Tamandua tetradactyla: one gene and its partners. The protein of the gene in region 2 purifies or fractionates together with the protein of the main gene of each other region. This does not show direct contact. Links are inferred from orthologs where the notes say so. Each region holds a gene or a part of one and is shown on either strand. Other genes may lie near its edges. The genes, in order: ARHGEF11, GNA13, ARHGEF1 and ARHGEF12.

What was found.
Region 1: the proteins of GNA13 (region 2) and ARHGEF11 purify together in Homo sapiens (affinity purification with western blotting; 3 studies listed by BioGRID). This does not show direct contact. The link is inferred for Tamandua tetradactyla from reciprocal best matches to the Homo sapiens genes GNA13 and ARHGEF11.
Region 3: the proteins of GNA13 (region 2) and ARHGEF1 purify together in Homo sapiens (affinity purification with western blotting; 5 studies listed by BioGRID and IntAct, with this or other methods). This does not show direct contact. The link is inferred for Tamandua tetradactyla from reciprocal best matches to the Homo sapiens genes GNA13 and ARHGEF1.
Region 4: the proteins of GNA13 (region 2) and ARHGEF12 purify together in Homo sapiens (affinity purification with western blotting; 3 studies listed by BioGRID). This does not show direct contact. The link is inferred for Tamandua tetradactyla from reciprocal best matches to the Homo sapiens genes GNA13 and ARHGEF12.

Annotation. Positions count from the first base shown.
Region 1 is NC_135330.1:10,069,336-10,077,129, reverse strand, and holds the start of ARHGEF11 (rho guanine nucleotide exchange factor 11), read left to right. Parts: upstream 1-4,788; 5' UTR 4,789-7,794. UniProt on the Homo sapiens protein: May play a role in the regulation of RhoA GTPase by guanine nucleotide-binding alpha-12 (GNA12) and alpha-13 (GNA13). Acts as guanine nucleotide exchange factor (GEF) for RhoA GTPase and may act as GTPase-activating protein (GAP) for GNA12 and GNA13.
Region 2 is NC_135332.1:8,914,128-8,921,814, reverse strand, and holds the start of GNA13 (guanine nucleotide-binding protein subunit alpha-13), read right to left. Parts: upstream 3,016-7,687; 5' UTR 2,799-3,015; coding exon 2,516-2,798; intron 1-2,515. UniProt on the Homo sapiens protein: Guanine nucleotide-binding proteins (G proteins) are involved as modulators or transducers in various transmembrane signaling systems.
Region 3 is NC_135342.1:21,590,527-21,598,495, forward strand, and holds the start of ARHGEF1 (rho guanine nucleotide exchange factor 1), read left to right. Parts: upstream 1-4,961; 5' UTR 4,962-5,144; intron 5,145-5,158; exon of another isoform or gene 5,159-6,294; intron 6,295-7,969. Other genes in the region: CD79A (B-cell antigen receptor complex-associated protein alpha chain), read left to right, coding at 206-278, 1,937-2,245, 2,354-2,472, 3,125-3,193, 3,312-3,425. UniProt on the Homo sapiens protein: Seems to play a role in the regulation of RhoA GTPase by guanine nucleotide-binding alpha-12 (GNA12) and alpha-13 (GNA13) subunits. Acts as a GTPase-activating protein (GAP) for GNA12 and GNA13, and as guanine nucleotide exchange factor (GEF) for RhoA GTPase.
Region 4 is NC_135334.1:20,292,642-20,299,963, forward strand, and holds the start of ARHGEF12 (rho guanine nucleotide exchange factor 12), read right to left. Parts: upstream 3,015-7,322; 5' UTR 2,138-3,014; coding exon 2,106-2,137; intron 1-2,105. UniProt on the Homo sapiens protein: May play a role in the regulation of RhoA GTPase by guanine nucleotide-binding alpha-12 (GNA12) and alpha-13 (GNA13). Acts as guanine nucleotide exchange factor (GEF) for RhoA GTPase and may act as GTPase-activating protein (GAP) for GNA12 and GNA13.

The DNA of each region.
Region 1 (7,794 bases), on a different chromosome or scaffold from region 2:
TAAAGGATGCAATTTTCCAAAAAATTATCTTTGACAAGTATGGTTTCTAGTCATGACAGCCACTAACTTTTACTAAAAAGTATGATTTTTAAAAAGTACTTCATCTTTATTTTAAACTCTTAACATCTCTACTCTTAGGGCGTGTTTTATAGAGTACATAATTAAATGCCTGTAAGTAATTATTAACAAATACATATAGCTTCCAAAAACATGAAACAAAAGTTGATAACGAGAAAACAGATATATCCACAATCACATTTGGAGATTTCAGAAATTCTCTCTTAGCAGTTAATAAAGAAGGCAAAAGACAAGCAGGGATATAGAAGACAGAACACTTCCAACCAAACTGGACTAGTTGGTATTAGAACAGCTCACCCCAACAACAGGAGAATACACATTCGTTTCAAGTACACAGGTCATAAAACAAGTCTAAACAAATTTAAAAGCACAGAAATCATAGGGATAATATTTTCTTTATATAAATTAAATTAGAAATCAACAATAAGATACCAAATATTTACAAAATATATATAACTTAAACTTCTAAATAACCATGGGTCAAAAAAACATGCAGGAAATTAGCATACTGGATCTAAATAACAGTGAAAGCACAACCTTAAGGAATCAGATAAAGCATTGCTTAGAGAGAAATTCTTTTCTATTTAAATATAATAGAAAAGAAGAAATATTTAAAATACATTATCTGAAGTTCTATCTTGAAAATAAAAAAAAAGAGAGAGAGAACAGATATTACACCTATTAAGGGAACATGGTAAAGAAATGTTTGGCAACCACTGGTCTATCCCCATAAGAGGAAGTGTTGACATTTGGAAGCATCATTTTTGCAGGTAGTGTGAGGAGGGAAGAAACAGTAAAGCGAGTAGGAATTTGGAACGTGGTGACCAACAGTTGGGCAGACCAGTTATCTTTGGGGGTTCTGGCCTAAGGATTGGGGGAAAAGGGATGGAGGCAGCAGGTCTTTCATTTATTTGCCAACCCGTCCCTGACATAATTTAGGTGAAATTCCTAATTCAGAGTAGATCTTCAGGAGGGTTTTGATTTCTTTTTCCTCTTGCTATTTGCAAACCTATTAATTCAAACACTGCTGGGGTCACAGTCCGTACGGTAGGTAAATATACATATGTATATATTCCTTTCAACCCCAGTCAAAGTGGTGTGAAGAGCAGAGACCCTATGCACACATGCCACTAACAGCCGGACCCTGAAAACCAGCACCTCCCTAGGCCAGAAGTCAAAGTTCACTCTCCAGTCCTCACCAAAGTTTTCTATTTATCTTATTTTTTTAATCACAGCGCTTGGGACCTTCTGACAAATACCCTGTTACTTCGATTTAGAAACCATGATTCTAGCTGAGGAGGTTATGAAAACAGATTTGTCCTGGAAAGTCTTTCCCATCGAGTTCAAATACGTTTCACACGGTCCGGTACTAAGATGCCAAAACCAGCCGGAGGGGCATCTGCTAAGGGTCTTTCTTCCCGTGTAGTCGGTGCGTGTTGGAAGTGGGGGGAGCCACGGAAACGAGGAGGGGGGAGTTTAAAAAGCTCCTGGCCACGCAAGGAGGCCCGATAAATTCCTTAAAAATAAAGATGAGAAAAGCGGTGGTGCGAGGGTGAGCTGAGGACCTGGGAGAGCAGGGGTGATGCCGATGAATGCAAAACGGTAAAACCCGAAGACGTCGGGGCGGGTCTGCGGCTCCGGGCACCGCGGCCGGCGGGGGGGAGGTCAGGCGGGGATAACAAAGCTCGGGGTGCGGAGCGCGAGTACCTACGGGGAAAAACGCGCCCGAGCGCAAGCGGCGAGGCGGAGGGAGGGGCGGCGCGCGGTGCCTCGCGGGGTCCGGACGGGGGTCGCCCGCAGGCCGGGCCTGGAAAAGCCCGGGATGTGGCTAAGCCGGGGGGACCAGCTAGGCCGCGCGGGGAGGCGGGGCCGGCGACCGTGAGGCCGCGGCGGGGACCGACCGGGGTGCGGCGACGAGGGCCGAAGGGGGAAAGGGCGCGCTGAGAGGTCGGGAGCGGGGCCGGCAGACGAGCCCTCGAAGGAGGGAAGGGCGGGCAGCTTCTCGGCCCGCGCTCCCGGCCCGGGCGTGAGAGGAAAGGCCGGCGGGCCGCGCCGCGAGGAGGAGGAGCCTGCGGCCCCGCCCCCCCGCGGGAGCGAGGGCAGGAGAAAGGCTCGCGGGGAAGGCCGAGCGAGGGGAGGCGGGGAGGGGGCGGCCGGCCGGGCCTGCGCCCGAGCGAGCGGCGAGCCGAGGGGGAAGGGGCCCGGAAGGAGGCGAGCGCGGCCGCGACGCCGGGAGCCGGACGCCCGCCGGTGCCGGGCCGCAGCCGCCGCAGCCGCCGCCGCCGCCGCCGCCGCCGCCTTCCCGGCTTGCGCTCGAGCTTGGAGTCCGGAGCGGCCGCGAAGGCCGGAGCGAGGCGGTCGGTGTGAGGCAAGCGGGGCCGGGAGCCCGAGGCCCGGCCGGCGGTCCTGCGCCGAGCACGGTGGGCTCCAGCCTGCGAGCTGAGGAACGGGGCGGAGAGGGAGGAAAAAGCGAGGCCGAGAGAAGCGAGGCGATCGGATTTTCCAGGAGGCTGGTGGGAGGAGAGACCTTCCCCGAACTCAAATCCACAATAATAATCCCAACTAATAATAATAAGGGAGCAGTTTTTCTGGCCGGGCGAGAGGGAGAGAAGGGGGAACGGAGGAAACGAAATCGCCGTTTCATGGAGGCTGAGGCAGGAGAAAATTTCGGAGCCTGGATGTGGAGGAGCAAAACAGCAGAACTAACTCAGGAAATTGTCTTTCAGAAAAAGGCTGAACCTAAGCTGGGTCTGAGAACCAAGCTGGGGTAGGTGGAGAAACCTGCAAGTTTAAAGGAAAAAGAAAAAGAGAGAATATTTTCAGAGAGTCTCTGTTTTTGTGTTTATTGCTTCCATTTTAAAGGTTAAAAAGCACTGCATTTTAACCTTTCAGGTGTTTTTTTTTATTTTTTGTGTGTGCGATTGGCTCATTTAAGAATTTCAAAGCATTTAAAGTGAAAGATCTTTTTTTTTAAAAAAAAGAAATCTATACATTTTTGGTTCCTAAGGTTGCACAGGACTTGGAAGGAGTGCTGTTGTATACATACTATTGTATGGGTTTATTTATTTTTTTTACTGTGCAAATCAGCTGAGATTTCTTACAAGTGCCAATTCGGATTTATTCATCCTTTTTTTCCCCCCCCCCTCTCTCTCTCTCCCTCACATATATCCGTTGTCGTCGTTTTAAGCATTGGAGACCAGAAAATTTGTTTTTCTTTGGAGCTTTAGGCTCCCTTGCCAACAGAAGGACAGCTGGGAAAACTGGATTAAAAGGATGGTTATCTGTATTTTACAGTTAAGACTGATATTTTGAAGTCACATTCTTTCTCTGATTCATTTTTTAGCCCATAGCATTAACCTTGAAGAGATTTGTGGTTGGGGTTTTGGTTTCTAAGAAGGTCGTAGTTTTTCCTCTTTTCCTTTCGTTTTTTTTTTTTTTTTTTAGGAGGGGGAGGGGTAGCGGGGGCTAAGAAAGGAGACCATGTTAACTGATATAAGTAGAATGGAGCTTCAGTTACCAGGGTCCTGAGTGCTGGAGGAAAAAAAGATTCAGTCTTCAAGTTGGGAGGGCCTCCTCTCACGTTGCTTAAAAATTGCAAGTGATTCAGTCCTGTTCAAGACACCAAAAGCTACAGGATTCTGGAACCGTGGAGACATCAAGAAACCATGAGTGTAAGGTTACCCCAGAGTATAGACAGGTAGGTTTGCTAATAATTTGATTTTTCTACACTTACTAAAAGAAAGGCTGGTTGGGAGGGTGTTGCATTTTGATAAAAGGTTACAAAAGAATGGTCTGGGTGGGCTATGGTTTTTAGAATCTGTGGGGAAATGTTGACATAGGAGCATTGGGTCTCTTGGGCCTCTCTGGCATTTGTGTTTATGTTCCCTCTGTGTGTGTCCATGTTCAAAACATACCTTTTGATTCTGTGTTTTAAAATACAAGCCATGAGCAATGAAACCAAGGGAAAGGAGAGACAGGGAAATGCTTTTAGGTACCTTTGACTTGCCAGGCTAGAGGCTGAATTTGGGTCCCCATCTTGCCAAGTGTAGGAGGCAGACGGAAGCCTGGTCATGTGGACTGGGATTGGTTTTAGGTGTTGGAATTGCTAGGGGAAGGGCCCCGGCGGCGGGGGGCGGGGGGGGGGGCATGTGTTAGAAGAGGTGGCTTCAAGTGCAGGCCTCTATCAGGCTGGTTGTTAGGGAATGGTGGGGCTTGTGGATGGGATAAATTCCATTTCTAGAATGAAGAGGATGTTCTTGGACTAAATGATGGTACAAGAAACACCCTTTGCACCTAGACAGGCCTGTGTTTTTACCAGCCGCCCCAAAATGCATAGATCATTTTAAGATTTCTTTCTTTCCAGGCTTAGGGTTTAAATTGAGACTTGCTAGCCAGCCAGTACTCTAGCTTTAATTTTCCCTGCAGTGTTGGATAAATTTGACTCTGCAAAACGGAGCTCCCCTCTGCTTAGAGGAGAAGTTGTTTGGGGCTCTGAGGTCTGATGGGCAGAGGTACTGGCTCCTTGGTTTCTTAGCACATAATCCCCTCCCCCGCCAAGAGTCTGCAAAGCCTCCTCTGTCACTGGTAATATATACCCTGTGTTTGTAATTCTTTGCTCCAAAGGATTGGTACAAACTTTGTAAAGTTTCTGCCTTTTCCTTGCCTCCCTTCTTCCTTGAGGATCTGAGATGGGGTGGGTGGGGAGGGAGTGGTTTGTAGGTGCTACACACATCCTACCTGAATAGATGGGTGCATAGAGGATTGAACAAGCGAATGAAAGGACTGGGCCTGGAAAAAAGTATTTTTAGAGAGATGGGGAAGAACATTTGCAGGGGAGCAATTGCTCTCTCTGAGTTAAGTTAACCTTTGGTTATCCATGCTCATAATAATTTCCTTTTGACTGTGGAATGTAGCCTAAAATGCCCATAATCTCTCCCAAACACTAATCTCTGTATTGCTTCAGAGTCCTGCTTAGATTAGTTCAGCAGTCCGCAGACAGGGATCTGACTTGGCAGTGGAGAGAAGGCAGACAGCTACAAAGGATATAATGTGTATGTGGCGGGTTTGAGCCACCTCCACTCCCTTCTCTGTCATTTGACCCTTGTAAAGGGAGACCTGAGACAGATTGAGGCAAAGAGTTAGATGGTTTACGTCTCCCCACTGGGAATTAGTGCACTTACCTTTTTTGAGATGTGGATGGTGAACTACTACTGTGAATTCAGGGGTGGGGCTGCAAGAAGGAGGAGGCAGTAAGGGTTCCTGGGTTGATGTGGGAAGCTCTTCTGGAGTTTATCTATCCTTACAGTCATCTCAGGATTTGTATAGCGTGGTGTGGTTTCAGAAGTGCTTTTATAGTACATATCTCATTTGACTCTCATCACAGTGTTTATGTGAGATAGATAAATCAAGGTTGTTGCCATTTTACTGAGTCTCAGAGAGGATACCTGACTTGCCCAGTACCATCTTGCCTGATGAATGGCAGAAGCTGGACTCAAACGCAATTCTGATTCTGAACCCATGACTCCTTTTATTACCCCACCCTGAGTAACTTGATTCTTATACTTGTCCTGTACAGTGTCGGGGGCAGGAGGGTCGTCATGTAGAAACATGCGTTGTCATTTTATTCTCTCTCTTTGGCAGTAGGGGAAGATGGTCTTCAGCAATCAAGGTATTCCTTTACACTTTCTGTTTAGTAGTCTGGGGATAAAGCACCATTTTCTTCTGCGGGGTGATGTATCAATTGTCCAGTGAGAGCATTCCTCATTTCCACCATCTCCAAGCTTCTCTTCCAATTTATAGGTTTAGTTCTGGCATCCAGGTCCCCTTCCTTCTGGGTATCTCCAGCTGCATTGGATCTTGATCTGTTAGCTGTAAGCTCATTCTTTTGGACGCTTTGACATCCCAGTTTTATGACCCTATGGAGTTTTAAAATAATTGGCAATCTTACACCATACTGGGGGGATGGAGTGGGAGGAAATGTTACAGATTATGTAGTCAAAGATTCTCTTTTGGTTTGTCGGTTCTCTTTGTATAGAATGTAGTGTAAGGTGTTATAAGAGTGCTTTAGAAAATTAAAATATATAGTTCCTGCTCACAAAGAGCACATAATATAATTGGTGACCTAGGAAACACAAGAGACCACATAATACAACGCTAGACTGTAATCTCCATGAAGGCAGGGACTGTTTGGTTTACTTTGTTATATCCAATGTGCTTAGCTCAATGCTTCACAGGTGGCAGGTGCTCAATAAATATTTGACAAGTGAATGCTGGAATGAACATGTGAGCAAGTATAAATTCTTCCATTTCAGACTGTTTCAACATTCGTGAGTTAATTTCAAATATAGTTCAATAAGGTCAGTTAAAGAAGGCTTCCAGATGAGGTGCATTTCCTAGAAACTAAGTGACAAGTTGAGGACCCTGTATATGGGGAGGTATTGTGGCTCAGAGTAAAGAAGGCTTTGGAATATTTATTTGACAGAGTTTTTTTTTTTTTTTCAACTCTGACTTCTGGGTTCATAGAAAGCATTAATTATTAATTATGGCTAGTCCTTATATTTTAATCATACTGAAAGATGATAGGCTAAAGTGTAATTAATTAGTGTCCTTTCACATTTTGTCCATGGACAAATTTATTGCCCACTAATATATTTTCCTTTCAAGAGTTTCTCAAACTGTGTTTGGTATTACAAACAGAGATATTGTTTTTACAGGAGTGGTCATGAGTTTCACTTATTTGTCTGTATACAGGTGTCTAGTTCCTTATGTTAAATGATTTTGAGATGGCCAATCTGGTTATGTGTTTTGCATCTATGAAACAGCTTTTCTCTGTGCAAAGTTAGAGAGTTTATGTGAAGACCAGACCACACAGCGCCTTAGAGAAGTACTAGATTTAAGCCAAGAGTTCTTGATTTGAGCCGTGGCTTTACCCTTTAACTGTGTGACCTTGGGCAAGTTACTTTACCCTCTCTGGCTCCTAACTGTGAAGCAGTGGCTCATTCATGCAAAGTACTTTCCAGTTTACAAATGTTTTCATATAGTGTCATTTGAAGATTATAATATTTATCCCACCTTTCTCATGGAGCTGTTGGAAGGAATGGAACAAATGAGATAAAATATTTCAGATTGCTTTCCAAACCATAAAACTCAGTATAAATTTTAGAAGAGAACCTCACGAACCTAATTTAAGCTTCATGCACTACTTTGTAGCCCAGAACAAATTAAGGAGGCTAAAATATCTTTCCCTTAGTTTGAAAAATTTAAGGAAAGTAAACAGACTTTATGGATGCAAGAGTGAATGGGGTTAGTAAGAAAGAATACTATTCCAGTGGTCAGGGTTGGGTGGTGATACCAGAAGAAAAGTGGAAGGTTATTGAATCTCCTTCCTGGGAATTTTAACAAACGAGGGAGACTTCAGCTGTCCTTAGCTCACTTAGATGTCTTTCAGTGATGGGGATGGAAAGGATTTGTTCTGGCCTTTCCTTGTCTTAGAAGCATGACTTTACTAATTCAAAATAAACCCAGACCCAGCAATTGTTCTCTATCAGAGAACTGAGATCAAATGTAACCTTTCCCCAGTCTACAGCCTTTCTTTCTATGGAAGGCAAAATCTCACATCCGGTAGTGGGTGGGGAAGGGAGGGGAATGAGAGGCCTGTCCTAGGAAAGAGCTCTCAGGCGGAGGGAAAGATGGGTAGAAAAGAGCTGCAGAGGCAGA
Region 2 (7,687 bases):
ATACAACTGCTCTTTTGAAGGATTTTAACATGTTTTAATTTATAAAACTTAAGATTTCTGGGGTAGAAGGTGATCACAAGGGAACTAAAACCAAGGAAGGAAAAAAATAAATACTGCCGGGCCTGGTGTTCAGGCTCTTAAGAAAAAGGCTACAACCAGAATTTTATGAGCCTAACCAAAAAGACATTTATTTATGAAATGCCAAGGACCCAATCATTATCACTCTGCATTCTATTTGTTCCCTCAGCACCCTGTCTACCGCAACACTGTGTCTGCTGGGAACAGAAAAAACTCAGAAACTTCTCCCAAATCAAACTTCAAAATACTGTACATCACAGAATGGTCTTTGGAATCTCTGAAAGGAAGACTCAACTACAAAATGAGATAAAAATAGGGACTGCAACTCACTGAGGTTTGTTCAAACCCAAAAGTCAATCACTAAACTGTTACTTATTTGTCCATCTTCACAGTCACATGCCTATTGGAAACCATTTTTTGGGTATCTAGAAAACTATTTTTCTGTCAATTTTCTGATTATGCCAACTCAACAAAACTAGGTGCCTTCATCACCAATGCTCAAAATCCAATGCTCATTAAGGAACCAGTTATTTACCTGGCTCTAGATCAGTTAACATGTTGACTCTGCTCATTAGCATAATTCCTTAAATTCAGCTGCACCAGGATACAAAGATACCTTCAATTAAGGAGTGGTAAGGCAGACAGTCTGTGGCCTTGAAAGAAACCTTAACTAGTCTTGTGCTAAACTTTAAGCAGGGTTAAAGAGAACTGCTCTCACAGTGGTCTGTACACTTTCATGCTCCTCCCCATTCAGGGAGTTCTTCTTTACTAAACCCTTGGAGAAAAAAAATGACATGAAGGAGTTGCTTAAGTACTTCTTGAACATCCCACTTAAAAATTTTTAAAAAACCGTTTCAAGGCAGGCCATGGTAGCTCAGCAGGCAGAGTTCTCACCTGCCATGTTGGAGACGGAGACGGGGGTTGGATTCCCAGTGCCTGCCCATGCGGAGGGGGGTGGGGACCACAAAATGTTTGAAAAGCCCCCAAATCTGTGGCAAACTCCTAGATAAATGATACTCAGATAAAAGAGAAGCCTGATGCGCCTTAAGTACCAAGCTCTGTGACTCAGTTTTGTCCTAATGCTTTTTATGCAGAAAATATGTGATTCTAAGAAAAATGAATGCTAATTATTTTCAAATGGCAAAAGAAAAACATTCTTCCCTAATTCTCTTAAGTCCAGAATTAAAAATTTTGTGCCTTTTCCACTTAAGGACAAATTTTAACTTTTTAATTAAAAAGATACAGTCAAACAGAAGCAGAACCTGTAACCCAACCTGAGACTGATCTTAATTTAGTGACTCAACCTGTACAGAATCCACATCCCTTTTTCTAGGCCAAAGACTCTTTTTTGGGGGAGCAGATAAAACTTTAATATCACCCAAACGTTAATTTCTAATCCTTATTATATAAAAATATTAGACCTTCAAGTCTACTATAAATATTAACTAATACTTAGATAATATATAAAATATATAAAATAACAACAGTCTTCATTTTATATAAGAAGCATGATCAGTCTCTTTTCTTACTTTTCAACCCTACTTATCAAACCAAAACGGGTTCACAGCAAGGGCATCTTAGGCCAAAGATTCTTAATATTATCACTCAATTTCACTTAATTAGGAGAAGCAATTGATGGTACACTCCCCACTTCCCCCCACTTAACAAAAAACCAGTGTGGAACGTGTAGCACAGTGACTATGGGCAAACATCCTGCCCGACCGTGACAATGCGGCGAAAAACCACGGATGTTAATTTTTCAGAGGTAACCGTATGGATCTACCCTTTCCTGAATCGAACACAGAGAAAATGACACCCTTAAGTATCAAATGCTTTTCCAAAAGAGACCGACTGGCTGTCACCCTTCGCCCTTGACAAGAGACTCGGATAAAAGTTTTCTTCTTGCAACGGTTCCAGAAGTCCCGTGGCTCAGAAGGCGGCCTAGGCAGCCGGGGGTTGGGCGCAGACCCGGCCCATGTGACTCGGTCACCCACCCCGCGCAGCGAAGTTTGCGCTGCAGGACCTGCGGGGGTAGGGGCGGGGTGGGGGGGGGGGTAGGGTCTCATGCCGGCTCTCGGGTCTTCCAGCCTCATCTGGAGGGAGGAAGGCAGACGAGGTCACCATGCACCCTGAGACACCCGCTCGCCTGACTCTCCTCTAGGAGGGAGCAAAGCTAGCGGCGGGATGGGGGGGGAACGGGTCGTGACCCCCACAGGGGCAGCAAGGGGGAAAGCGGGACGCCCCCCGGGGATCCCCTCACCTGGAGGCGAAGGAGTCCCGGGTGGACACGACTGGTACCCGGGGCGCGCCCCCTCCCCGCCCGGGCCAATCCTGCGCTAGGGACCGAGCGGGAGAGGGCGGTGGCCGGCCCCGCGCAGACCGCCGCCGACCTCAGGCTCGGCCCTCAGTCCCCGGCCCCCGACCCCCGGCCCGGCACCTTTGATCACGTTGCTGTAGATGGTGGGGCGGAACTCCTCGCGCGCGCGCTGGTCGAAGTCCTGCCCGTGGATGATCCGCATCTGCTTGAGGAAGGTGGACTTGCCGCTCTCGCCCGCGCCCAGCAGCAGAATCTTCACGAGCCGCTTTACGTAGGTCTTCTCCCGGGACAGGCATTTGTCGATCTCCTTGGACTTGCGCTGCTGCTCGGCCTCGCCGCTCGTCAGCACGCAGCCTGGGAAGCACACGGACAGCACGGACCGCGACGGCAGGAAGTCCGCCATCTTGCCGCCGCCGCCGCCGCGGCCGCCTCGGCGGGCCCCTCCGGCTCCCTCCACCTCCTCTTCGGGCGGCGGGCGGCTCCGGCACGGCGGCTGGAGGGCGGAGAGCGCTGCGGCGGCCCGAGCGCACCCGGGGAGGGGAGAACGAGCAAAGTGATTCGTAGGGCGGGCCAGGCAGGGAGAGGGCCGGGTGAGCCGGGGAGGGAGGGCAGGAGGGCGGGCCCGGGAGGGGCGGTGGCCCCGGGGCGTACGCGCGCTCGCTGTCTCCCGGAGACGCGCACGCACGCTGCTGCCTCTTTCCCGCACCCTGACCGAGACGTATGAGTCACGCGCTCGCTGGCTGGCTCTCTCGCGTGCCTGCGGCCGCCGCCCGGCGCGCGCGCGGAGGCCGGGAGCTGCTGTCACGTGGCATCCGGCTGGGCCGGGCGGCTTGGGGCCCTGCGTGCGCCTGCAGAGCACGACTTTCTGTTTCCCTTTAATTAACTGCGTGCACTTAGGGGCCGAAGGGTTCCTCCCCCGAGGCCAGGCGGCCGGGGCCTGGTCACTGCCTTTTGGGCTCCCCCTTCTCTTCAGCCATCTCCGCCGCCCTTTCTTTCGGTTACGTGCCCACCGCCTGCTGTCACCGTTCCCATGCCTTTTTCGAGGATACTGACTCAAAAAAATTACCCAAACGGCGGGCGAACACACCTGGAAGTCTTGGGGGTACTTTTTTTCCCCCGCGGCTCAGTTGACATGCTGCTCTCGCAAGCTCAGAACCATAACCAGAAGTCGTGTTTATTCCATCCTCTCCTCCCACCCCACACCCCCGCACCCCTGCAGGTCTTTGTGGCATTCTCAGACCTCTGTACGGGCCCTCCTTTAAGGAGGAAGAGCTGGAGTTGGTGTTAATGTGAGAGGCGTTCGGAGACGTGTCACTGGTGTGGGTTCCGAGCTGCGCCCCGACTGCGGGCGCGCCGGCCGCGCGGGAAGCTGGACGGCGGCGGAGGGTGAGGTCATGGTGAAAATCCCCCTAAACCGGACACTGTCCTGCGGGCGCTTCCGACGAGGAAACAGATAAGCAAACAGACGGAGGACAGGAGCAGGCACTTCGTAGGTTTCCTGCTAGATTACAGAGGATGTGACCAGCCAAGGGGCTTTTCTGTCCCAGCAGATTCGGAGCAGGACACCTGAAAGGACTGCTGGGGAATGAACCTGGCGAGTGACAGCTGGGCTGGAAGAGCGACTCACCTAGCGAGGACCCTGGAAGCCGATTCTTACTGTTTAGTTTCAAGTGGGAAAAGCCGTTTTACTCTGCCTCTGCTTTTGGCAGCGCAACGCAGTGCTCCTTGGTTTGGGTTCCTGTAACAGGGGAGCTTCCTGTGTGTTAGGGCGGTGGGGGGAGATGAGAGGTGAGCGTGCAGAGAGGCTCGCGAGCACGTGTAATTAAAAAATAGGTGCTGATCATTTACTCCTGGGGTTGGGTTAATTACTGAGATGCCTCGTGACTCAGTAAACTAGCTGCTGTGAACAATGCTGGTAGTAGAATGATCTCTGGTTGTCCTGACCAACCCCAGAGGGTGGACGGTTTACGATATGCAGTCACCGCCTTCTTCTGCAGGTTGATAGGGTCAGAATCCCTGGGCAGTGCAATACCCTACACGGGGTGGAGCTCTTTCTAGGCTCCAGAAGGCCTGTTCTCCAACCAGGAAGGGCCTAACGTGTCGCCCCTGACCAGCACAGAGTCAGCCCCCAGGCACCATTCCTGCTTGGACTACAGGTGCAAATCTGGAGTCTTCTTCAGCTGAGACAGGAGGAGGGAAGCCTATACATTAGATACACTTTTTTTTTTTTAATGTGTGCTATGTAATGAAGAACAAAGAGTACCTAGCAGGCAGGAGGTATTCCTGCCCAGCCAAGTCATGTTGTGACAGGTAGAGTAACAAAGAAAGCTGTTCAAAGCCCTGATTGTAGTCTTCCCATGGAACAAGCCTGACTGCCCTATTGGTTTGTTTCTGAAAAAGAGACCTCTTTGGGCCCAGCCTGGGCTTTGGCTTCAGCTGTCCGACTGCCTCTTAACTAACTGTCTGGTGATATTGATACCTTGGAAATTTTGAAAATAAAAATGAGTTAGGGAGTTGGCAGTTCCTCAAAAAGTTCAACATGGAATTACCATAGGACCCCACAATTCCATTTCTAGGTATATACCCTAAGGAATTGAAAACAGTTGTTCGAACAAAAACGTGTACACAAAAAAATGTGTATAAGAAAAAAAGCGTACGTGAAACACTTTTTGCAGTCGCCAAAGGGAGAAACAACCTAGTTGCCCATCAGTAAAGGAATGAATGGGAAAACAAAATGTGGTATATCCATATAATAGAATATTATTCAGCCATAAAAAAAGCAATGAAGTTCTGATACATGGGCTACATGGGTGAACCTGGAAGACATGTTAAGTGAAAGCAACCAAACACAGAAGGCCACACAGTGTATGATTCCATTTATATAAAATGTTGAGAATAGGCATTTCATAGAGACATAAAGCACATTCACATTTGCCAGGTGCTGGGGTTGAGGGGAGAATTGAGAGTGACTGCCCGATAGATACAAAATTTCCTTTTGGGGTGATGAGAGTGTCCTGGAATTAGTGATGTTGGCTGCACAACATTGTGAACATACTAAATGCCACACAATTGTGCACTTTAAAATGGTTAAAAAGGTGAATTTTGTGTGATGGGAATTTTACCCCAATAAAAGAGTGTTTGAGAACAAATAAATATATTCCATAAAAGAAAAGTCATCGGCATCATTTAACGTTGGAATACATACTATGTGCAACTTCAAAGAGTGAAAGTTCCATTGTGTTTATTTTAAAAATAACACTAATAATTGTTTGCGCCAGAAGCAAATCTACTGTAGCAGTCACTGCAAGTTACAATATAATATTAGTGACATTTTAATTTTCAGATAGATTTGTTTCATCACTGAAGAAAAATCCAGATTTTTAAATGGTGTGTAGAATCTATGGGTTATAATTGAATATACTGGGCACTATATTTCCAATAGACCCAGATGTTAATTCATTAGAATTATTGTTTCTATATTGTTTCTAATGAATATTATTTATAACATATAAATTTATAAACATATAAATGGTTAGTCAATTTATATGCAGATGAGATATTCAGATGCCCTGTGGAGGTGTGAAAAAATTCCTCCTGGAATGGGTGGTTAATTGCAGGGCTCTTCTTCCAGGAAACACAAAGGCTAGTGGCACTCAGTTTTGCAAGAGAAACATTGGAAGGTATGACTATAAATACATTTCCAAGCAGCTTTCTCCTTTAATGTTGTCACCTTATGAAGGCGCAAGCCCTTTCCAACAATGCTTTCAATTCTTGAAACCCATTGGTCATTCTTTTCAGTTCTAAGGTGGAGTCTTCTTCAGCTAAGACGGGAGGAGGGAAGTCTATACATTAGGTAAATATCTTTTTACTGAAAGAAAAACATTCTTCCTACCATATAGTCATAGCTTATTTTCAATTTTAAAAAGTGACATTATGGAACTTATTTACCAACCCTCGTGCTAAATAACTTGGGCTGTTTACAAAAATCAGAATTAGCCACGAAAGACAAAAATCTGTCACCCTCAGACATATTCAGAATAATGTGCCAGAGGCTCTAGGAAGGATTCCAAAAGAGAAGTTTAAAAATATCTGAATGATGAGAAATAGAATTTAAATAAGTGTTTCACTTGCCAAGATGACTTGGAATGGGACAACACCCATTTAGATATGTTTATTTAAAAATCAGTCACATTATTTGATGATTAAACCTTGTGTTAATTTTCTAATAAAAATAATGACACATCCAGCATTCGTATTACGCCACTCTCTTCTGTCTCATCATTAACATAAAATAGGTGGATTCTAGTCCTTTCTTACTGATAAAATAGGCATGAACCTCATCCTTTCTTCCCTTCTAGGAAAGTAAGGGAATTCCCTGGCCCTCTCATAATATAAATCCCTTACATTAGTGTAATGTTAATAAAACAAAGCACTTTGGCCTACTTTCCTCATTCTCTGCTCACAATAGCCCCACGAGGAATTGTAAGCTTTAGACTCGCTCCCTTTTGACACACAAGGAAGGTAAAGAGGAGTTTAAACATCTTACTCAAAGCTTTACTTACCAATAGCAGAGTGAGGACTGGAACCCCCACCTCTTGACTCTGAGTCAAGTGATCTTTCTGATATACCAGTATGGCCAGAATGCCCAGGTGTTAAAAGTTCAAACTTGAGACGCAAGTAGCTAACCCTGTGTAAGCACGAGGCAGCATAGAGTCCAGCAGTTGTGTTTGTTTCTTTTTGTGTCGGTTATTCCATCTCCTTTTGGGGTGAACACCACCTCGGGGCTCACACCAGTCCTTAGGCTGATCCTGGGAAGATATTGAGTACTTTGAGCTTAGCCTCTGGGTTGTAAAATGTTCCCAGGTGGCTGATAAAGAACTGAGAAGAGAGGAATCCCACTCTGGCAATATATACATGATATGCAAGTCCCATACGTTCTCTTTAATGTGACTTAAGTTTGAAAAGGCAACCCTTTTTTTTTGTAATGAAATCTGGGGGTGCTCTTACCAGAATAAGTCTTTCATGTGGAGCGTTTCGGATGAAACTAGACATGTGGAATTGAATTGTCGGTGGTTTTTTGTTGTTGTTAATAATGGAAAACATGACTTTAATTGCTGGTTGTATTTTTCTCAGCCTCTGTAAAAGATCTGTGAGCTGCTGTTGACCAGCTGTGACCTCAACTCAGCTGAAGTCAGAAGCCTGGCCTGTCTTGCAGACACATCCTGCAACTCATATAAACCCTTATACCCTGCTTACTGCATCGGACCCATTTATGGGCAACTATTTACATAA
Region 3 (7,969 bases), on a different chromosome or scaffold from region 2:
TCCACTTGCAGCCCTGGTGCATGGTGTCCCGGGCGGACGGCGGCGGGGGCTGCCCCAGACCCAGCAGCCAGAGGGCCCAGGCCTGGGGACCAGTGGAGCCCAAATCCGGCTGGGCTGGGCAGGAAGTAGGGCGGGGCATGGGCTGGGGTGGGATCTGGTACCCCAGGACTGCTGCCACCCAGACCGACCGACCCACTGGGGGAAGATGCCTGGGGGCCCAGGAATCCTTGGAGCTCTGCCTGTCAGCGTCCTCCTCCTCTTCTCTACCACTGGCCTGGGTATGTGGCCCAGGGGCAGGTGCCGGGGGGCGGCGGAGAGGTGAACCCCGGGAAAGGCTGGAGGAGCAGAGCGAAGTGGGAGCGGGCAGCTGGGGAAGTCCCCTGGAGGAATGCATCTGTCGGTCCAACACTTGGGGCAGGGGCGGGGGGTGGGGTCAGTTAGCCAGTAAGGGGTTGCTGAGGGGAGGCTGGAGAGGCCTCAGCAAAGTTGAGGGGTGTCTGCAGCTCCATGGAGGGAGGCAGAAGCGAAAGACACCTTCCCCATTCTCTCATGCTCAAGGGCCAAAATAAGGAAGTAAGGTCTCTCATCAGAGCCCCACCCTGGGGCTGGGGCCAGGAAGGAGACGGGGGGGGGGGGGGGGGGGGGGGGGGCAGCCCTCAGCTTCGGAGCGGCCAGAAAGCTCTCTCCCCTTTCACCTTGAACACTGGACACCCCTTCCGTAGGGAACCCCTTCTAAGTGCTGGGGGTGGAGGTGGGAGGATGGGAGTCATCAGCGCCTCCCTTCCCCTCCCCTCCGAGGCCAGCTGGCAGGGACTGTGACCTGTGACAGCCTCCTCTGACCTCTAGAGGAATTCAGAAGACGGGAGGTCACTGGCCCAAGGTCAGGTTGCACAGGGGGAGCAGGGAGTGCAGCCCACGTCTGTCTGAGTCTAGAGCCCGTGACTATGATGTTGCTTGGTCCCTTTAACTGCCTCTTCCTCCTTGTCTCTTCCTCACCTCCCCAGGCCTCCTCCCACCTCCAGATGGCAGGGGCGCAGGGTGGGGGGGGAGCGGCAGTGTGGTCTGGCCAGGGGAGGCTGAGAGCTGGGGGCCCCGGGAGCCCTGCACAGACACTGCAGCCAGTCTAGCTCCCTCCATCCCGTCTCCTTCATGTCAACCAGCCCGCTGAGCCCCTCCACTAACCCCCATCCCAGCAAAGGACTGAACTCACCCCTGACCCCCAGGTTGACACATACAAGGTACAGAGGAAAAAGGACTGACCCAGGGTCACACGGCAAGGCAGGGCCCAAAGACTGGCTCCTCAGCCCCAGGCAGGGAGGGCCCAAGAAGGCGTTCGAAGCCCAGTACTACCCCTCACTGCCCCTGAGGCGCTGGGCAAACAGCCTGCTCTCCCTGGGCCCTGGCAGTCCGACCTGTAAAATGGGAAGAAGGTTCTATAAAGATGACACAAAATGAAGCATCAGGTGCAGGAGTGGGCTGGGGCTGGGGCTAGGAAACTGGACCAGGAAGGGCCTCCAGGAACAGGTAAATGCCAAAGCGATTCTGGAAGAAGCTATCTGGGCAAAGGGACTTCAACCGCTAAGGAGCCAGATTTCCAAAGACAGCGAGTCCAGTGAGGCCAAAGTATCAAGGAGGGTGTCGGGAGGGGTCAAGGGATTGCAGTAGAGAGACAACTGGGGACTCCTGGGGGTTTTCCCCCCACCCCCCACCACCCCAAGTGCATCCTTACTCTGCTCTCCCAGAGGCATCGTCACTCCCCGCCCCCCCACCATGTAGCCTCCCACTTCTCCCACATTGGTGTCTCCCCCTCCCCGCCAAGAGGTACCCTGACTCTCCTCCCCTAGGGGTGTCCACACCCAGGCCTGCTGCAGCCCCAGGGGCCAAGGCTGGGGCCTGAGTGCCCCTCCCCGGGCCCTGACCCCCCACCTCTCCGCAGGCCCCTGGTGCCAGGCCCTGTGGGTGGACTCGGGCCCCCCGTCGGTGACGGTGAACGTGGGGGATGAGGCCCGCCTGCTGTGCCTGTACAACGGCAGCAGCAGCAGCAGCAGCACCACTGTCACCTGGTGGTTCATCCTCCAAAGCAACCACACGTGGCCCTCCAGGTTCATGGGCATGGGTGAGGGCCCTAGAGGCGAGCTCACCATCTCACAGGTGAACAAGAGCCACAGCGGCATGTACCAGTGCAGGGTCCAGGAAAACAACAAAACACACATGAACTCCTGCGGCACCTACCTCCGCGTGCGCAGTGAGTGCCCCAGGCCGGGGCCCTGGGCGGGCGGGGCCGGGCAGGGGTGGGCGGGAGGCTGGGGAGGGCAGCAGGGCCGGGGCGCTGAGTGGCACCCCCTCTGCGCAGAGCCCCTCCCCAGACCCTTCTTGGCCATGGCGGAGGGCACCAAGAACCGCATCATCACGGCCGAGGGGATCATCCTGCTGTTCTGCGCAGTGGTGCCTGGGACGCTGCTCCTGTTCCGGGTGAGCCCCCGGGGACCCCAAGAGCGAGACGCCCTGTCTGAAAGGGGAGAGCGCCAGCACTCTCCTCACTGCGGCCTCGGGGGTTCAGTTAGTGTGGACTTGAAATGGTGCCAGGCACGGGCGGGGTGTCCTTACCCATCCCCCTGCTCAGGGTGTCTCCCTCTCTCCCCACCCCACACCCGAGGGGTGTCTCACTCTCTCCTACCCCCCAAGTGTCCACATCCCCCTTCTCCAGGGTTCTCACTCCCCAAAATCCCAGGGGTGCAGCACTCTGCCTCACCCACCCAGTGGGTCTCATCCTCCTCCAGTCCCCATCCAGGAAAGCTACAGACCACCTCCCCCATGCCAAAGCTGGGGAAGATGGGGGCTGGGGGGCTCGACTTCTCCCAGGCTCTCCACAGGCCACAAGTACCCCCTCACCCCCACCCCCGTCTTATTGTGTTGCTGCTCATGAGAATAAAATGGCCACGGAGAGAGCCAAAAAGTCCACATCCTCTCCCAGTGTGTGGCCTTGGGTGTGATCCTCACCCTGTCTGGGCCTCAGTTTCCCCTCCTCTAAAGGGAAGCACTCAGAACACCTCCACGCATCCAGGAGGTGCTGAGAATATATCCGCCTCCTCCTCTGCTTACTGAGCCCCCCATTCCCTGACAGAAACGGTGGCAGAACGAGAAGTTCGGGGTGGACATCCAGGATGACTATGAAGATGAAAATCTTTATGAGGTGACTGGAGGGTGGGGTCAGGGTAGGGGCAGGTGCGTTGGGGGGCTCTGCACAGGGCTGCTCCCTGGGGCTGGCCAGAGCAGGGACCTCGGTGCTCAACGCCACGCTTCCACCCCAGGGCCTGAACCTCGATGACTGTTCCATGTATGAAGACATCTCCAGGGGCCTCCAGGGGACCTACCAGGACGTGGGCAGCCTCCACGTTGGAGATGTCCAGCTGGAGAAGCCGTGACCCCAGAGGGCCGCTCCTGCCTTCAGCGCTCCCCATGTCAGTGCCTTTCCACCTGGAACGTTTGTGTATTTCCATCGTCTTCCGGGGAGCTCCTGTGTCGTCTTGCTCCTTGAGGTGTCCTCCCTCCTAGGTCTCTTTGGACTCCTCAGTGTCTAGACCCTTCCCTCAGTGGGGTGGTCGACTCTCCTTTCCTGCAGACTGTCCTCATTCCCACCACACACCTTTAACTCACCCCCCTTCCTCTGCCTCCTTTCCCAGGCTCCCCGGCGGGTAATGAGCCTTTAATCGCTGCCTCAGGGGGAGCTGATTGTAGCAGCCTCGTTAGTGTCACCCCCACCCACTGCTCTGTCATGGCTACTTAGTGATAATAAATCCTTTCCAACTGCAGACCTTGGCAGGAGTCATGGATCTCATGGGCACTGGACCACCCCTCCTCCCTCAGTCTCAAGGGTCCAGCCCCCGGCCCCTTCCTCCCTCAGACCCAGGGGTCCCGGCCCCAGCCCTCTCCTCCCCACCCCTGACACCTGGAAGCAGGTAGGCAAGCTTAGTTACCCACTAAGAGAAACAGGAAGTGCCTTGGAGAGGGGTGGTTTGTCCTCCTCTAAAGTCCCACCCCAGGCCATGTGCAGGGAGGGACTTAGGGGGCGCTGCAAGGCAAGGCTACCATATTTGTGCGCAGCTAAGCAAACACGCTGAACCGTCTTGTGGGCCTAGTACCAAATTCCTCAACTGCAGCCACACGTTTTCACCTTGGGGGGACCTGCAGAAGAGGGTTCTGGGGAGTCGTGGAGGTGGTAGGGAGACTCAGGGGCAGTGACAAGAGGGACACGAGGTCCCGAGGGACTGAAGACAGGGAGAGACAGAGCAAGAGAAAGAAAGGACCAAGGAGACAGAGAAACAGTAGCACAGAGACAGACAGACAGCACGAAGAGATAAGAAAGGAAAGAATGGGGCGTGAGATGAATGGACATGGAGAGACAGACCCACCAACACCCTGAGGAAAAGAAACACTCCGGAAATGACAGACTGAGGATGGAGATGCAGAAAAACTCGGCCAGTAAGAGGGAGAGATGGAAAGAGAAAGACCCTGAGGGAGAAGGGACAGAGGAGGAGGGTGCTTTGGGTGACGCAGAGACCAGGGAGAGCAGGGAGACAAAGAGACAGAAAGACAGAGTCCCAGAGGGGCGCGGGGTGGGGCAGAGACACAGGGAGAGACACGGACACAAATGTACAGAGAAGACGAGAAAGAGGGAGGCGCGGAGCCCGGGGCTGTGGACCGGAGCGACACCGACGGCACCCAGGGAGGCCACTGCTCAGCCCGAGGCCGGCGCGGGGCGACTCTCTCGCCCCCTCTCACCCCCTCCCACCCCCGGTGACAGGCCGGCGGACCCCTAGGCGAGAGACACGAGGACCTGGAGGCCGCGCCCGGCGGCCGGCCAGACGGCCAGACAGACACAACCGCTGGCAGGCGGGCGGGGCCCAGGGCGGAGCGCGGGGGAGGGCCCCGGGGGGCGGCGAGAAGGGGAAGGAAGCGGAGGTGCCGGGCGGGCGCGGGGCACGGGCAGGAAGCGGGGAGGGGCGGCGGGGCGGGGGCCTCCGGAAAAGACGCCCCAACTTCCTGCCCCGCCAGAGCCAGGAAGCGGGAGCCGGGACGCAGGGCCCGGGATCGCCGAGCCCCACCTCGGGCGCCCCGCCGGTCACCTCCCCGCCGGACCCCAGGTACACCGTCCCCGGCCCCGCCCGGCCTCCCTCCCCTCCGCTGCAGGGGGAAGTGGGGAGGGGGGCTAGGGCGCGGTTCCTCAGGGCTCCACGGAGCCAGAGGCCGCCCGTCCCTGGGCCTCAGTTTCCCCACCTGTCAAAAGGGTCAAAGGGAGGGGAACTACTACTTGCCCAGTGCCCACTGGGTGGGGATGAGGGATGCAGGGTCGGGGTCAAGGCCTCAGCTGTCAGGTGAAGGACGGATGAGCGCCCCTATTGTACGGGTGGGGAAACTGAGGCCCAGGGAGCAGAACCGACACGCCCCAGGACGCACACATCCTGAGACCGTGTTGAGTTGGGGTTTGAACTTGCAGGTACCTTCTGCTTAGCGTTTCCCATCCCCCACACACCCCAGCCCCGAATGCTTTAGGGTCACCTAATAAAGAAAAACAATAATAGCACCCAGAGGCCGCCGTGAAGCTTTTGAAAGCGTTTTTGGAGAGCTCTTTTCTGGGTCGTTAATTATACTCTAGGAGATAGGTAGAGAGGAGACAGCCAGGGACCTTCCCCCAATGCGCAGATGAGAAGACTGAGGCCTGGAAAGAAGTGATAACTTTTTTTTCCTGGTAATAAAGGTATGGGCAAAGGTGGGTCAGAACAGGATTTTTGCTTGCTAGCCCCAGTGGAAAGCTGGGTGGGGGTGGATTGATGTACTGGCGTCGGGAATTCAGGTGGTCCTCGAGTGGGGAGGCAGGATAGGTCGGGGAGCCCCAGTCCAAGGGGAGAGGCCGAGGAAATCTGAGATCTCTGCGCTCCAACCCCGCGGGCTGAAACCATCCGCACCTCTGGCAAGGGGGCGGGGCTCGGGTGAGTGACGCGAGCAGTCGAGATACGGAAACGCCAACCCTCCAAGACGTGCCAGAGTGGCCCTATCTGGCCAGCGTGGCGCAGTGGAGAGCTAGAGCGGCCGGCGGGAGGAGTGGAGTCGCAGGGGCAGGAGCTAAGCAGGACCTGGGCTAGAACGGCTGTCGGGAGGAGTGGAGCTGGGCGCAAAGGCGGCCTGTGGGACGGCTAGAGCGGCTCGGCGGCAGGGGTGGGGGGAATCCTGGAGCCGGCGCGCGGAGTCTTCGGTTCAGGCAGCTGCGGCGGCTTCTTCTCCGACTCCGAGCAGGTGAGGGGAGCGGTCTCCGGCGGACATCAGAGCCCTGTTCCGTACGTTTACCCCGGCATGCCCCAGCCGCTCACACCGCCACGTCTCTTAGAGGATTTAGGGCTCAAGTAGACCAGCCACGTCCCCTGTAAGATTTGAGGCTGGCATAGACCTGCCACGTTCCGTATAGATTACAAGGTCTTACAGACCCTCCGGTACCTGCTAGCCCCCCATGGAGACCCGGCTTCTGGTAGACGTTAGGATCCCTCATAGATCAATAGCATCCCTTAGAATCTGGGCCCAATTGACCCTCGATCTCTGGATGCATCACTTGCCCGTTTAGAATTCTGTGCCCTTTAACTCTCCAGAGGTCCAGTAGACTGGCTATTTCAACCACAGAATTATAACCCAAAATGATCCCCGGATTCCTGTAGACCCACCATGTGTCAGATAGAATCTTAGGGCTTTATACATTCCAAAGGCCCCTTATTCCTTATAGACTCACCTTGACTCTTCTGTATTTTGGGTTCTTTAAAGCTCCCAAAGATCCTGGAAACTCTGGGTCACTTGCTCCATATCTTACAGACCCTGAGCCCCACATAAAACCCAAGTCTCTATGAGGTCCCCTATGTGAGCCTGCTTTGCTCTAGAGCCCCCACCCCTATGGATCTTTTAAGTCAGCCCTGACCTGCCCAGAGCCCCAGGCACACAGGTGCCCCCTCTGCTGTGTCCCAGGCCCTGTCCGTTGACAATAGACTAGTTTCTCAACCTTAGCACTGTTGACCTTTGGGGTCCGTTTATTCTTGGTGGCGGGGGACTACGTTTTAAGAAGTTTAGCAGCATCCCTCGCCTCTACCCACTAGATGCCAGTAGCACACATGTACCTTCCTCTCCCCACTGAGTTATTGACAATCAAAAATGTCTCCAAACATTGCCCAGAATCCCCTGGCAGGCAAAATCGTCCCAAGTTGAGAACCACTGCTATAGATATCAAATATAATCTGGGGCCCTTATAAATTCAGGGCTCCCTATAGTCTTACTTTGACACCCTGTCCCCACCACCCCATATTTTGGACAGTTAGTCCTTAGTGGTCTGAGCAAGAATGCTCCAGGTCCCATGGCAATGTTGTCCAGCCCAGAAGCCACAGCTGGTGGCCCAGTGATGATTTTCCCATCTCTGACAGGACACATAACCACATGGGTCATCTCAATATCCTATAGACACTGGCTCCTGCAGAGAACCCAGGTTCCATGTTGTCCCCCATCAGTCCTCACTTTGCTGTAGGACCACCATCCCCACCCCTACCTCATCCCTATGGATCTAAACGTGCCTGACCTTCCAGAGCCCCCAAACATGCAGCATCCGCTTGGCTGTGCCCCAGTCCCTGTCAGATGCCTGTAGGTGCATCTGTCCTCTAACAGCTTCAACCTATAATTCTCTGTCCTTTCTAGAATAAAGAGATAATAGGTGTCGAGTACTTGAATTTCTGGAATAAAGAGATAATAGGTATTGAGTACCTGAATTGGGGCCTGGTACCAATCAGTGGCTCAGATATTGTGCATCCACTCCTTCCCCCCTTGGGGTCCTCCTGCTGCTTTGGAGCCTTCCTATCCCTAAGTGGGCTGAGCAAAGACTTTCCATATCCCATGGCAATGTTGTCTGGCCCAGAAGCTGCAGCCAGTGGCCCAATGACGG
Region 4 (7,322 bases), on a different chromosome or scaffold from region 2:
TTCTATACTCATAACTTTGTTAAGGCCCCCTGGCACATAAATAATACTAAACCAATACTTCCAAATTTCACCCCAACGTATATGCAAGTCAAGTCAAGGACAACTACTCTTTTAAAGAGCAAACAGATGATCAATATTTACAGAAAGGACATGTTTTGAGGAAAAGTAGTGATCATATAAGAATAATGCTTGTAAAAAAAAAAAACTCGTAATAAATTCCTAAGAAACAGGTATTCATACTCTCAGCAGTGCTTAATTAAAAGTTTTTGTTTCCTTTAAAAAAATATGGAACATCAGCAGCACCTGAACCAGTTTCAAAGCTATAAATACCCAAAACAATTTGCAGTTTCATCTTATACTTAGAATACTCATCTTTCCATCTTTCGTGCCTCACACACTACCTGGCACAGAAAAAGGCTCTAAATAATTGCATGTTTATTCAAGCTTATACCTCTAGTGAGTTATAAAAAGAACACAAATCCCAAGATCTTATTTCCCAGATAACAGAAATAGGAAGAAAAGCCCTGGGGAGCAAAGGTGAAGAAAGGCCATTACTTGGGGGGCGGGGGGGGGGGGGCATTTGGTGATTTTTGTTTGGAAGGAGCTGGGGGCACTAAGCTCTGTTTCCACAAAATTAAATGCCCCTAGCACCGCAATGAAAACTATCAACGCTACTTAGGAACTTACTAGTTCCTAATAAGACCTTCTGTCTACAAACTCAACAGAAAGGGCAAGAACTGAGTGATCCAGGAAAACAATTACCCAAAAACCCGTGAAAGTGATTTCTCAAAAGCAAAACACCCTGTATAATTGAGGAATGGGGACAACTAGAAAAGAATAAGATTAGCATTGTTGCTATTTCTGTTGTGTGCTCTGCAAAAAATTATTTTATTGAAAAATAAAACCCATTTTTAAAAATATGCAACCAGGGAACAAATAGATGGTTTAAGTTTTTAATGGAATCTTTTAGGTGAACAGTCACATGACACTGGAAAGCATCAACAGGAAGAGGAAGTTCTTCTGTTTCTGGAATAGCTGTTATGGTATGATAATGGAATTTGGCCCTTTTAAAATCAACAAGTGAGTCTTACAATTGGGTAAAACTCCCTTATTAGTAAATTCATGTGCTTTCTGGAGGTACTCTATTGTTGCACTTTACATCAAAATGTTTTTAAAAACCAGAGCCTCTCAGTTACCTGATCTATTCTTTTTAATGATGTAATAGTTTAAAGATTGACTTAAAACAACAACAAGCTGACTGATATTTGGGTCCAGGATACAGTCTCATAATTAAACTGAGAAATAAAGTGTGATAAAGGAATCAATATACTTATATCTCTAAACCCCCTTCAGATTGCTATGGTGTAGCTCTGTTCACCAAATATAACAACGCAACATAGCCAGGTACTAAAAAAGACAAACAACTTAACAAATCTACCTGCCATGCTTGTACTACATAATTACCTTACGGTTTATATCCCTTAAATACAAATGTTTCTGAAAATATTAGAATTCAATAATTAAAATAAAGTCTCACGATTTTCCCTCTCCCCCCCCCCCCACCCCCCCAGTCCTTGATCGTGCCTCCAGCAAGAGCCTGGGATGTACTGGTAAATTTAACATTCTAGAAAATTATTAGATAAGTAAACACTATGCAGGTCAACACCTAAAAGAGATTAAAATCATAAATCACCATGCAGCAACTCAAAATTAACTTCACAAATCGAAATTCCTAAAATTAACGTGTCTAGAGACTGCAGGATTGGACTAAAACTGAGGAAAAACCAATACTCAGCCGACTTCAGACACTGACCTTCACCTAAAATGACCTTCCTTTGGTTTCAGACTGAGTACAGATTCTAATGCACTTACAGACAGAAAACCACATTCGCGGTTTTACCTATAGCTTTACAGGTAATCTGGAGAAGTTTCTCTCCAGAAAAACTACATTTCCAAATTTAATCAACCGGATGACTCGGCAGCAACCCTAAATTATTTGCATAGCTCCCGAACAACCCGCCTGTCAATTTCACTAATCAAAGGCAATCGGCAGTAGGCAGGGCCGAACCTCGGGAGACTAAGAGCAGGAGGAGCTTCATACCAACCTGTCGGTGATAGTAGACTGTGTGCCACTCATTGGGGCCCTTGGCGAGAGGTGCTCCTTTTATCCAACTTGCATTTTACAGTAACACCTCCACCCCACCCCCAGTGCTCTGGGATCAGGCCCAACTCCTTCAGGGACACAAAAGTCCAACTCAAAACTCCATTCAGTCATCTAGAGCATCCGATTGGAAGGGGTCAAAGACAGGGTAGATATAGGCTGGAGCAAAACAAGTTATCTCCCCAAACAAACCGAGAAAGTCTGCCAGAAGGCGAGTTCTAAAGCTAGTGATAAATCCTCAGGAAGGCACAAGGGAAAAAACTTCGTCACCGAGGGAAGTCACGAGCCGCGGGGAAGGGGACCCAGGAATCCCTCCGGGCTGGGGAGGGATCGGATTAGTGACGAGAGTCGGTTCCTCCTTTGGGGTCTCAAACTCGCCGCCGCCGCCGCCGCCGGGCCAGGACCTCTCGGCCCAGGTCTCTATCTGGGGCTGCCGGCGGCTCCTGGCTGCAGCTTCTGCAGCGTCTCGGGCAGTCCCGCACCCGGCTCACGGGGCTCCATATCCCCGGGGCAGGGACCCCTCTCGTCTTCCTCACCGCCCCCACCAGGCTCCGAGCGCTGTGACGAGCAGCGGGTGCTGTTAGGGAGGGGGTCCCGCGGCCTGAAATGACAGGGACCTGTGTCTCTCAGCGCCGCAGGCTGCTCCCCATCCCTCCCCGGCCGGAATCTTCCGCAGTCGGCTGAGGTGGCTCCTCCCCGACGCTCCAAGAGGCGACGGTTCCCGTGAGGGGCGGGAGGTTCCTGTCGGGTCCGGCCCGAAAGCGCCCGCGAAGGGGGCGGGCGGGCGAGTTGCAGCGACTCCCCTCACAGGGCCGGCTCGCCGGGTCTCGGGGGCCCTCGCGGGCGCGCGCGCGGAGTGCGGAGGAGGAGGAGGACACTAGCCGCGGGGGGCCGCGCGACAACTGCAGGCGCGCGCGCGGATTCCGGTTCCGGTTCGGCCTTCCTGGCCCCAGCCCCGTCCAGGCGAGCTCGCTCTCTCCCTTCCACGCCCACCCCCTCCTCCCCGACTTTTTTGGCCTGCTGCCCTCGGACTTCGGAAAGCCACCTCACCCGAGATCCCTCCGCGGCTTCTACCGTCTCGTCTTCGCGCGGCTCCCGCGCGGACGCCTCCGCCAGAGCCTTGTTTGGTGGAACGAAAAAGTAGTCCTGCGGGGCGGAGGAAGGTGAAAAGCCTGAGGCCACAGGAGCTCCACCAACTAACACACCGTCACCCCCACCCCGGCGCCCCCTTACTGCCGGAGAGCTGTGCGTCGGGGTTGAGCGTGTATTAACTCAGTTTTAACCAGAGTTCTCCAAAGAGAACTCTCCCAGTCCCTAGGAGTTCATGATGAGGGTCTGCCTTTGGAATTTACCACCCCCTCTGCCCTTGACCTAGAAACTTCTGTTCCTTAATTGAATGTACTTGTTCTCCTTACTCTCTAACACGTATAGAATGCTTTTGACCGATGGGCCCATCCCGGATCCCATTCCTCTTCCCCTAAAGGTAACCCCAAGAGAGAGGTTTTGGCGCGGGCAGCTCACCTGGAGCACCTGCTGCCCTCGTCCCAGGAGAGGGGCCGTGGCGCTTAAGTCCTGGCTGCCTAGGGTGGGAGGTGGCAGGTGTGGGGCTTAGGGACTGGAATTGGAAATTGAAGCCAGGATTTCTTGGGATAAATATTGTTTTTAGGCTTTTTCTGCCTTGGCAAAATGAAATGTATTATTTGCCAAACTGAGAAAGCATAATGCTTTCCACTATGATTTAACAAGCTTATTGTGAGACGAAATGAGAGAGAAAAAATATCCAATAGCATTATTATTCTCTCTGAAGAGTTCCCAAATATTCTTTGGGGTTTCCCCCCTACCGTTTGGAGACAGAGCTTTAGATATCCAAGTTTTATGTTTGAATAAGTCGGTATTGTGGCAATTTAACAGCAACATATAATATAGTTCTTTAATTCTGCCTTCAAACGTCTGAAGTACTGCCCTTGTTACTCAACTATTTTCAGACTTGTACGTTTAGACAAGTTGGTGGGTGAGTGGCTTCAGCCATTTTGTGGAAATCAAGTGGCAAATCAAATCTAATATGCAGTGGATGTGGAAAGAAGAAACAATTACTTCTTAACAATGTTTGTTAAACGTCATTCCACAAAGTTCATGAAAGGATTATTATCCCTGAATAGATGCATTCGCTAAGGGTGACGTTAAAACGGGGGAACCAAAAGGAAAAGATAAACAAAACAGAGTCCAAAGATGACTCTTTATTGCTTGATTTTTTTTTTAAGTTCAAGGCACAGCCAGCTAATTTTGTAATGTTTATTTTTGGAAAGAATAGAAGCACATTAGGGTTCCAAGCCACTTTCCTAATGATCAGACCAAGACACATTGCCACCTGCTGGTGTTTCCTAGATGACAATTCTATCTGAAGACACTAATTAAATTGTATATTACACATAATTCGAATGAGCTCCATCCATTTTGTATACAGTGACCAAAATCCAAAGTTTATGTCCAATTTAATAATTCTTTCTTAAATGTACTGAATACGTTTAAAACTAAAAATTTTACAGTGTGTCAAATTAGTTGCTCCCAGTGACTCATCAATCATGCATTTTAAAAATGAATTCCCCTCTTCCCGTCAAGAATACCTCAATACTTGAGCTTCAGGAATAAAACAAACTGGGAAAGTTTCCTAATTCACCTTCTCTTCCTTGCATACAAAACCTCTTGGCAGACTGCTTTCAAGACCTTTCCAAACTTAAACAGACTCAAAGTTCTAGCTGTGAGCAAAGAAGGCATTTTGCTGTGGGAAAGCTTCAGAAGATGGTAAGCAAAGGATTTAATTAAGCCAGTGGTTATTCATTCCAGAACTTTTTTTTTAATGATGAAAATCTCTATATTCATCCATGAAGCTCTAATGGTAAAAAATGTCCCTTGAAAGCCTCTTTACAGCTGTTTATAGCTCTTGACTGTTCTAAAGGCTCTATCTATAGAATTTCTTCAGAAGAGTCAATTTAGCTAGAAGATACTCCCCAGAGTCAAGGAGTCCTTTCCGGGGGTAAAAATGACCTTGATGACCCAAGCCACCAGGCATTCCCTTTCAGGAGGTTTTCCAATGGGGATTATTTTAAACCACATTCCCATCGCCTTCTCCATTCTGTCCACATAGTTGTTGAGTACCTATTATGTGTTGCATACTGTTGGAGGCATTGGAAGTACAGTTCTGAAGAAAGCCACAGGCCCTGTCTTCAAGGAATTCATTCCACATTATTATTCTCAAGGCAGTCAGGTGGCAGCACAAGAAATAAATTTTTTCCTCTCTCTTTTGACAAACTTTTCAATATGTAGATTGTTGCTCCCTAAAATAAAGAATAGTAGGAATGGCTGCCGATAACAACTGATAAGAGGTATTTCACTGAGAAGTATGAATATGAGTCAATATTTCTGCAAAAAAAAGTCAGAAATTTTTTTTCTTTGCTTCTTGGTATAACCACAAAAAAGATATAAAAACTTCTGAATTGATTTTTTAAATGTGTTTATTTTTATAAAATTTAGTACAAATCTTATTTATATATAAATCGTTCTTGGGCAGTATCAATAATTATTACATAGCAATCCAAATGCAAATGAGTACTTCATTTTGTCCAACCATACCATAGATTAATTAGCCCTTCATTTACCTGTGGTGCAGAAACTCAGCATTTTAACTGCTGAGTCATCTTCATTTCACATTTTTTCTCTCAGAGAAGTTTCTTCATAGTTATTAGCCACAATGTCAAGAACAGCTGAAATGAGGGATTCCCTTTTTCGTATTCAGATTTCTCATGGTTCAAAAAAACACTAGGTACTTTCCCATGAGAGTGCCCCAAAACGGCAAGATCTGCTATCCCTTTGCTTCTGAAGAGTCAAGAGAAAAGAACTGGTACCAGATTAAGTCTATTCATTTGTCTGGTATGGAACAGGTTGCACTGTGCCAAAATTCAAGAGCCAGCTTTTTCTTTTTCTTTCTTTTTTAAGCTCATGTACCAAGCCACTCTTTTTTTACTAGGCTTTTGCTAAAATCAGCACTTCCCAGCATTCTAGGCTGACCACAGTTTTGTTGGGAGGAAGCTCAGCAGCATCTCAGGGATACTGATAATAGAAATAAGATGCACAGATGCCATCTGTTTGATTGTGTCAATGCCCAGTAAAACTTTCTAACCAAATGGCAATCATTTAAAAAGACCCACTGTTAATATGCCTTTAAAGGTGCTTTTCCCATAGCAGTGATGACTTTGTGTAATTCCACCCACTCCCTCATGCCTGTTTCTATGGCCAACCATACAAACATCCACTTTCAAGACACTCATTAGTTTAGTATTTCTGTGACATGGAATGGACTGACGTTCTACTTGACTTCAATAAGCACCACACACTTGCTCACCAACTGAGCTAGTCAGACACTCACTGGTCTACATAACATAGTTAAATAAATAAATAAATAAATACATACATAATACTTCATTTTTTCATAAAAGTCATAACTTAAAGACTGCCATTAATAAAATGCCACACAATGTCTCTATGAATACATGCCGGGATATTTCCTTCACTCACAAAAAGGTTTAAACTGAGGCAAAGAGTAAATAATCTGGTGAGTGAGTAGCAAAATTAGTTAAAGAACCCAGGAATTTTTTATTTCTACCCCCTATTCTAGGCTTATATTCTCGCTTTTCCAAGGTGTGATTATAGACCATTGCTCTAAGAAATATATTTTATTTATTCCAAGATTGGCCTGGTCAAAATAATGTGTCCAAAGAGAGTGGTACCTTTTTAAGAGAGAAATAAGAAGAGGAGGACTAAAAAGGAAAATATATGAAGTAACAACAACAAAACATTAGCTTCATCTCCCCCCTGAGGCCAGTACATACTTTTTAAAGTCTTTGGTTCTCGTTTGCAATATGTACAGCAAAGCTGAAACCTGAACTGCCATCTCAAGCACAGTGGAATCCACATAGTAAATCCCTATGGAATTTAGTCACAGCCTCTCATGCCTAGGAGATTAATGCACAAAAGCCCTGAGAACTGGCATACAGTTTTCCTGGTAGGGCAGAACCTGTACAACTGGACTCAGTAAATCTGCGCACACCACATTCATCTCACATCCAAAGCCCTAGCTATATGGTTTTTGTGCAGTGAAGAGTTA